Linked DNA regions of Oryctolagus cuniculus. The protein of the gene in region 1 interacts with the protein of each later gene in a biochemical or structural test. Links are inferred from orthologs where the notes say so. Each region holds a gene or a part of one and is shown on either strand. Other genes may lie near its edges.

The links.
Region 2: the proteins of RPS6KA3 (region 1) and PEA15 form a complex in vitro, tested with the Homo sapiens proteins (2 studies listed by BioGRID). The link is inferred for Oryctolagus cuniculus from reciprocal best matches to the Homo sapiens genes RPS6KA3 and PEA15.

Annotation. Positions count from the first base shown.
Region 1 is NC_091453.1:6,234,571-6,238,389, forward strand, and holds part of RPS6KA3 (ribosomal protein S6 kinase alpha-3), read right to left. Parts: intron 1,322-3,819; coding exon 1,233-1,321; intron 1,056-1,232; coding exon 991-1,055; intron 917-990; coding exon 814-916; intron 413-813; coding exon 288-412; intron 1-287. UniProt on the Homo sapiens protein: Serine/threonine-protein kinase that acts downstream of ERK (MAPK1/ERK2 and MAPK3/ERK1) signaling and mediates mitogenic and stress-induced activation of the transcription factors CREB1, ETV1/ER81 and NR4A1/NUR77, regulates translation through RPS6 and EIF4B phosphorylation, and mediates cellular proliferation, survival, and differentiation by modulating mTOR signaling and repressing pro-apoptotic function of BAD and DAPK1.
Region 2 is NC_091438.1:38,715,943-38,719,761, forward strand, and holds part of PEA15 (astrocytic phosphoprotein PEA-15), read right to left. Parts: intron 466-3,819; 5' UTR 464-465; coding exon 292-463; intron 1-291. UniProt on the Homo sapiens protein: Blocks Ras-mediated inhibition of integrin activation and modulates the ERK MAP kinase cascade. Inhibits RPS6KA3 activities by retaining it in the cytoplasm. Inhibits both TNFRSF6- and TNFRSF1A-mediated CASP8 activity and apoptosis.

The DNA.
Region 1 (3,819 bases):
TCCTTCGGCCCCTGCCCCTGCATGGGAGACCCGGAAGAAGCTCCTGGCTTTGGATTAGTGCAGCTCTGGCCATTGCGGCCATCTGGAGAGTGAACCAAAGGATGGAAGACCTTTCTCTCTCTTCCTCTTTGTAACTCTGACTTTCAAATAAATAAATAAATATTTTTTTAAAAAAGAGTAATATTGATACAAAGTGTATTTTAAGCTGTCCAGCTCATGAAATATATTTATACAATGAACTGTACCTCATAACATTTAAAATTTAAAATTATTAGACACGCACTCACCTGAACAATTGAATGTACACCAACTGTCTGCATTGCTTGGCTTTCATCGTCTGAGGTAATAGCAACAAAACTAAACCCCCGAAAGAGCTGGTGTGCATTAGCACTAGGTGGAATGCCAGGTGAATCTGAAAAGAGCAAAAAATTTTATGAAGATTCCTTTGAAAGGTAATTATATACCGACTGCAGTCCAGGATATCTCAGTACTGTATTGGATATGATCTGATCACTTATTGCCACAACAATTCTAACTTCGCTCCCTCAGGGACTAGAAAACAGCCAATTCATTTGAGGAATATAATAAATATTGTTACTGGGTTAATGGTATTCAAACATTAACCCTATCCCATCAAACTTCCTAGAATGAAGGAAATTGTCTTTATCTGTGCTGTCCAATATGGTAGCCACTATACACATGTCAATACTGAGCATTTCAAATATGCCTAGTGATCTTGGAAAACATTTTCTGATCAACAAGACAAACATGTATTCATTGTCTTATATTTGGGTTTTCATGTTTTCTCTTTACCTTTGGGAGTTTTTGCAGTAAATTCAGGATCAAAATAGAATGTATCTTCAGGCCTACCAGTTGCAGGTTTAAAAGGTGGATGAATTTCTCTCCTATATAGTTTCTGGAGAGAAAAGAGAGACTTAGACATGTGTTAATTATAAAAATATTTCAAGCAAAGTTCCATTCCATACTTACATTCCAGTCTATTGTTGAGAAAAATGAATGTCTCTTAATCTCTTCAACTCCATCTGGTCCTGCGCCTATCAAAAATTGATTGGGAATTTTTATTTCAAGGATAAATGTATGTGAAAACACTGCACAGAGTTTTACTACTTGTTTGAACATTTAACAATCTCATCACAAAAACAAATATCTATCACCCACCCCTCAACAAAAAAAATCAAAACATGAAAGAAAAAATTAATTAAAATTTTTACCTAATCTGTTGGCTGGATTTCGTTTGAAAAGCATTCGTAAAAGACTCTGGGCTTCAGGACTCAAAAACTGTGGCATCCCAAGTTTGGCTCTAAATAACAAATCCATATAACAAAGTTTCATTTTTTGGAGGTGTATGTATTTTTATTTTTAAATGCTTTGAATTAAATCTTCTGAGATACCTGTAGATAGCCCCAGTTGTATTTGCCATTTGCGTGTATGTATTTAGTTCTAAGCCATTTTTAAAAAAAAGATTTATTTATTTGAAGGCAGCTACAGAGAGAGGGAGAGATAGAGATTGATCCTCCATCACCCTTCATTACCCAAATGGCTGCAATGGCAGGCTGGGCCAAGCCAAAGCCAGGAGCCCAGAATTTCTCGTCTCCCACTTGGGTGGCAGGGGCCCAAGTATTTGGGCCATCTTCCATGGTCTTCCCAGGCACATTGGCAGGGAGCTGGATTGGAAGTGGAGCAGCCAGGACTCATCATATCTGTGCTCATATGGATTGCTGGTGTCACAGGTAGTGGCTCAGCTCATGGTATCACAATGCTGGCCCCAAGTTCTAAGCCATTTCATCACACACATACCGGCTCTTCTATGCAAGTATCACAGTTTATTCAGAAATCTGCCTATTGAAGGATATCTGGATTGTGTCTGGTTTTGGGCTATCATGAATAAAGCTGCTATGAATATTCCTGTACAGGCTTTTGTTTGAGCACACTATTTCAGTCCATAATCTAATGAACTTTTTCATTTTTCAGCTTTCTGCAAAGAGCACTACTGTGAAAGTAAGATCATCTGAGTCTTAGCTCTTAGTTCTATTATTAAGAACTTTGTGACCTTTGGAAAGTCAATCCTTTTTGGCCTGTAGCCACTGCTTCATAAGGGGACTGGATGCTATGCTAATGGCTCCCAAGCTGTAGCCTTGGAACCCCTTTCTAAAGGGAATTTAAGCAATCCAATATTTACAGCTCGTAAGAGAACATGTGCTTCATCTTCTCATTCCCCTTCCTATTTCCTTTCGTAGTTCCTGAGGGAAGGGCAACTGGTGGGAGAAGGGTTTGTGGGACATTTGAGACTCTGACACACAGTCTGAAAACCAGTGGCCTGGATGAGCTTGAAGGCCTCTTTTAGCTGCAATATATAATTTTACTCTTTTCCTAACCTACAAATTAAAGAAACCAAGGATCCTGTAAGTATGACAATAATAACAGAGCTGCTGAAGGTTCCTATTTCAGAAATGGATTCACTTATTATTCAGTGAGCTGTTTCTGTGCTCCTACACTACTTAGTGCTTAGGATGATTCCCGTGGTCAGGGGAAGGTGGATATAGATAGCTCTAGTACAATGAGAGACAAATTCAGAGAAAAATGCGGCAAAAGTGTCAGGGGGTGATAGGGGTTATCTAATTTAACATGAGAGATCATGACAGGATTTAAATATAATGCAAAAGTTGAAATTGAACATTTATTTACTTGGCCAGCACTTTCTAAAATTTTACTGAATAACATTAATCCTTCTAGATAAATATTTCATGAGCTTATCAATTTATAGACTGTTATCTATTCTAATCCTTGTTGTAGACAGGAAATAAAATATGCTGCATATAAAAGGCCAAAAAAAGCAGACCCCCCCCAAAAATGTATTTTCTAAACATGTGCTTGCAGTACCTCTTTTTTAGACAACACTTATTAACACTTCGTAGAATTTAGGGTTCTGCTGAACAAAACTGGGGAAACACTACTATATTAAGTAACAGGAATGTAGCAGAAGTCTTGAAACAGGGGACTAACATCACCAAACTGATTTTCAAGAAGGTAATTCCATGGTTGTTGAGAGCAATCTGGAAGGTTAGGTGGTTTGGGTAAGAGGTCACCATGGCCTGAGCAGTTAGCAGTACAATGAGGAAGAAGGGCTAGAACACTGAAACAGTTCTGGATAGGATTTGGAGAGTACCTGGATATACAAGAGTGAGGATGAAATCAAGAATGATGTCCAGATTTCTGGATTGGGATAGAGGGTATACAGAAATGCTGCTAATTGGTGGTTCAAAAAGAGGAAAAGAACATCAAAGTGAGATCAATTGAAAGATGTGAAGTCATGCATGCTGTGTGTTTTGGGACAGTTAGGCAGGCAGGTGGGTAATGGGAAGTGCAGGTCTGGTGCCTGTAGATGGAAGAAAGAATACATGTAACCTTGAAGACAGAACATTTAAAAGGTGAAAAGGAACAATTTGGGCATGAAAAATAATAAACACAAACATATTCACATTGATCACTAAATTCCATGAGTTCATCACAAAAAAAAAAAAAAGAAAAAAGGCAAAACTAAATTAAAAACCTAACTCACTGGACATTGCATTCAATGGGAATAACTAGGGCCCAAACGATCAGAATTAACTAAGAAAAGGTTAAAAAGTATTTGTTCTAATTTTCTTTTAACTTGAACTTTATTTCAAGTTAACTAAAAAGACCTGTTGATGAAGGCAAGTTCATTGTCTCAGAAAAATAACTGCTATTTTAATTAAAAACTATCATTTTTAATTCCTTATAAGTGTTTCAAATAATGATTATGAATGAATGAAACCT
Region 2 (3,819 bases), on another chromosome or scaffold:
AATGTGGTTTTCTTTTAGATTTTACTACTTTTCACTTTTATGTTCCATGATATATATGTGATAATAGCCACAGAGTATCTGAATAACATTTTTTCTTACTGACAAGAGGCATAATGAAAAATGTCTAAAGACCACTGCTCTAGAGCCCCTTTTACTGTCTTTGAGCATCTGTTATTCTGCCTTGTCATGAAGTGGTATGCCTTGTGTCGATAACTTTGAGTTCTTCTCTGTATGCTGAATGAATGGAGCCTGACTTGCTGATGACTGGCCCTGTGTGCCCCCCTCCCCCACCTTTGTCCAGCTTGTTGTGACTCTCCAGGAAGCTAAACCAGGCACTGCCAGTAGTGATCTCCTCACTCTTCTCACTGGGGATGTCCTCCTTGCAGGCTGATTTGAGCTGTTCCAGATCTTCAAGGGTGATGTTGTTGGTCAGGTCCTGGAGGAGCGTCCCGTACTCGGCCATGACTGGGGTTGGGAGACAAGAAAGGGAACAGAGGAGGCTGAGCTTAAGGTACAGGGTTTGGTTCACTCCCTTGTACTCCCCACTTTCCAGTAGAGACCAGGCATGTGCCTAGAACAGGAGGTAGAGGGGGAATGGGGCTGGAGGGGAGGTGGTGGGAGTAGCAGGAAGAAACTTAGAAGCTAGGAGCCAGGCTGAAATCTAGAGTGACAAGTCATACCTCTTTTCCTCCACCATCTTTTTCTTCTATTTCCCCCTCTAACAGTAACCCTGGCAACTGCTCCCCTGACTGAGGAGGCGGTTACCATGGCAGCCTGCTCCCGACTTTCTCGCTGCTGTCTCCAAGCCCCCCCCCCAGAATCGCCCCACCCACTTGCAACCCCTCCCCCTCATCAGAAAAGAAAGCCAAAACATTCAAAAACAAGGACTAGTGAGAAGCTTGCTGTGGCAGTGAGGGGCTGGAAGGGAGCTGGAAGGTTTGGTTGAAGCTCATGTGTTCTCATTCTTTCCCAGAAGCAAAGGGGTCCCTCACTTCAACTCCCCACCACCCCACTAATGACTCATTTTGGATGGATGCCTCATTGCCTGGTCTGACAGTTCTTGGACCCTCCCATGCTTAGCCTTGTATTCAGTCATTAGGGCCAGGGCAGCGGAGAGAAGCAAAGGGCCACCCCCACCTTTATGCAGTTCATTTTCTGCCTTGACGGTTACTGAGTCCCCCCACTCAGCGCTCTCTCCTAGTCTTTGTGCTGTGCCTGCAGCCCCCGCGCCCAAGAATACCAAGCGGCTGGCTCTGGCCCCCTGCCCAGTTCCCAGGATGGCTGGTGGCAGGGGGAGGGGAGTTTAGATGTGGCTTTGGGAGTCTGGCAGGAAGGGGTTGCTACCCCTTCTTGCAACAACATCCTCCTGGCACTACCTTCAGCATGACCTCCCAGAGGGGGGCTAGACAAGGCCAGAGCTCATCTAGGCCTTTACTCTATCCCTCTTTCTTGATCCTAGGTGAGAAAGTACAGAACATTCAACCTTCCTTTTAGGAACTGTAGCTAAAACAGGAAGAAGGGTGGACCCCAGAGTGAACTTTCTGGATTTGATAAAATATAAAACTAGTAGCAAACTCAAAAAGGGCCTTAATGTCTCCAGTTAGTATATATTTCTTTTATAATTAGAAAATAAAGCATTAAAAAAATCAGACCATGCCACAAACAGTCCGTGGCTAGACCAAGGGGTAGGTACAAGGTAAATGACCTTACCACACTGAAGCTGCCCACAAATCATCCCAGCATTGGGCTGGGAAGGTGGCAGATCAAAGTGGGCTGGTTGATAGCCCCCCAACCCCCCTCATTTTCATCATTCTAGCCTCTACTTGCAGGAGAACAGAGGCAGAGAGGCATGGCTATCACACAATAAGAGGTGTGGACCCAGAAGTCCCCATTCCCAGCCCCCTGCCTGGACCAGAATAAACAAACCTCCCTTGGTGGCAGGCACCGTAACACAAACAGACAATAAGCTAGACAGCAGGGCTGGCAAAACCCTCACAAGAAACAGGCAGTCATAGGCACGCTCACTTGCACACCCAGGTGCAGCCAGACAGAAGGGCCCAGCGGTGGCCCTGCCCTGCCAGGCCGGGCCAGGAACAATGCTCTCTGACTGTCAGCACCAGGAACCATCTCCGCCTTGAAATCTAGGTCACAGCGGCAGGCGCTGGAGCCCAACCCCCCTCCTGATAATCCGAGAGCAGAAAAAGGGGTTGTAAGGGAGGGGGGTAGGGAAAGGGGTCTAGCAATGCCTATCAGGCTGGGGGATAGAGAGAGCTGAAAGAGAAAGGGTGGCATGGGAAGGCAACAAGAAGACCCTGCCCTGGTGGAGGAGACGCAGGGACTAAGCTGTCTAGAAAGAAAGGGCAGAATTTAGGGTCACACTGCTCTCTTCTCACATGGAAGAGGAGTTTGTAAATATGAGAGATCCTGTGGGAGGAGAGAGTGAGAGAGAGTGTGTGTGTGTGTGTGTATGTGAGAATCTCTTGGGAGGAGTTAAAATGTAGGGCTCTGAATCTAAAAGATCTACAAGGGAGGTGGGCGGGAAGGGATCAGTGTGTGTAACACACCTACCCACAAAGGCTGGGGGCAGTAGGTAAGAGCTTTCTAAGAGTGAGGCAGGTACAAGGAGGTCCCCAAGAGAGGTGGGGAGTGGAAATGTTAAAAGTGGCAGGGGAGAACTGTGTGCCAGGATCCCATGTATGGGTGCTGATCCCCGGGTGTGGGTCCAGGAGCAGGGAGGAGGCTGTGGGTGTGTTTGGATGTTCTGGTTAAGGGAGGCGTATGTGTCGGCACTGCATGTGTGGCTGTGAGTGTACGTGGGATGTGTTTGTGTGTGAACCAGAGGAGAGTATGTGTAAGAAGGTATATAACCATAGGCTTACATCCAGAGGGATGCGGGCAGAGCCTACAGAATGGAGGAAGGGAGCTGGGGTTGAGAGAGGTAGAGACTGAGGCTGCAAATACTTGGGGGGGGGGGGTTGGGGGGCAGAGCGAGGGGATGAAGAGAGGGAGCACACAGAGTCCGCAGCAAGAAGGCTGCAGCCTCAGCTCAGCTGTTACTATAGCAACGTCAGTTCTGGATGCCCCCCCCCCCCCCCCGCAGTCATCAGGACAATAACACCACTGGATGGGAGGGGTATGGGGAGTGGTGAGTAAGAAGGGACAGAAAGGATAGAAATAGGGCCCCCTGAGGGAGCAAGGAAAAGCATTCTGGTTACTTCCTTCTCTGGAGAGATTCCATTTGTCCAGGCCTGGGTGTGGTAGCAGGGATAAGAGCAGAAGAGTTTAGGGGGAATTTTGGGGATATGGACAGGTGGAATATCCTTCCCTGGCTCTCAAGTCTCACGGATCAACTACTGTCCCTGGACTGGGCTGGCCATGGTGGGACTTGGCAGAACTTGGCTCCCCCAGCCTCCATGTCACGCTCCTCACCAGAGATTCAGAAGACTTCAGGGCCTGTGAGGAAGCCTTCTGCCTCCCCAGCTCTGAAAAGCCACCCTGATCTCTGAAGCAGCACAGAGGGCTGCCCAGAAAACACCAGGCAGACTGGGCGGAGGCCATTCTCAGGACAGGATACCAGGGCAGGGACCGGGAACCGGAGCTAGAGCTGCAGGAAGTCAGTCCCCTTCCCTCCCAGCTCATTCTGTGCTCTGCTCACTGCTTCCTCACACCTTCCTTCCCCCATTTCCTTCCTCCCCTTCCTTCCAAGCTGACTCCAGGAGGAGCCCTGACAAAGGTGGAGCAGACTGATGATGCTGGGGAAAGGGGGCAGGGAGTGTTGGGAGGACGACAGGTGGGTGCTCTTTGAGCCCCGGAGCAGGA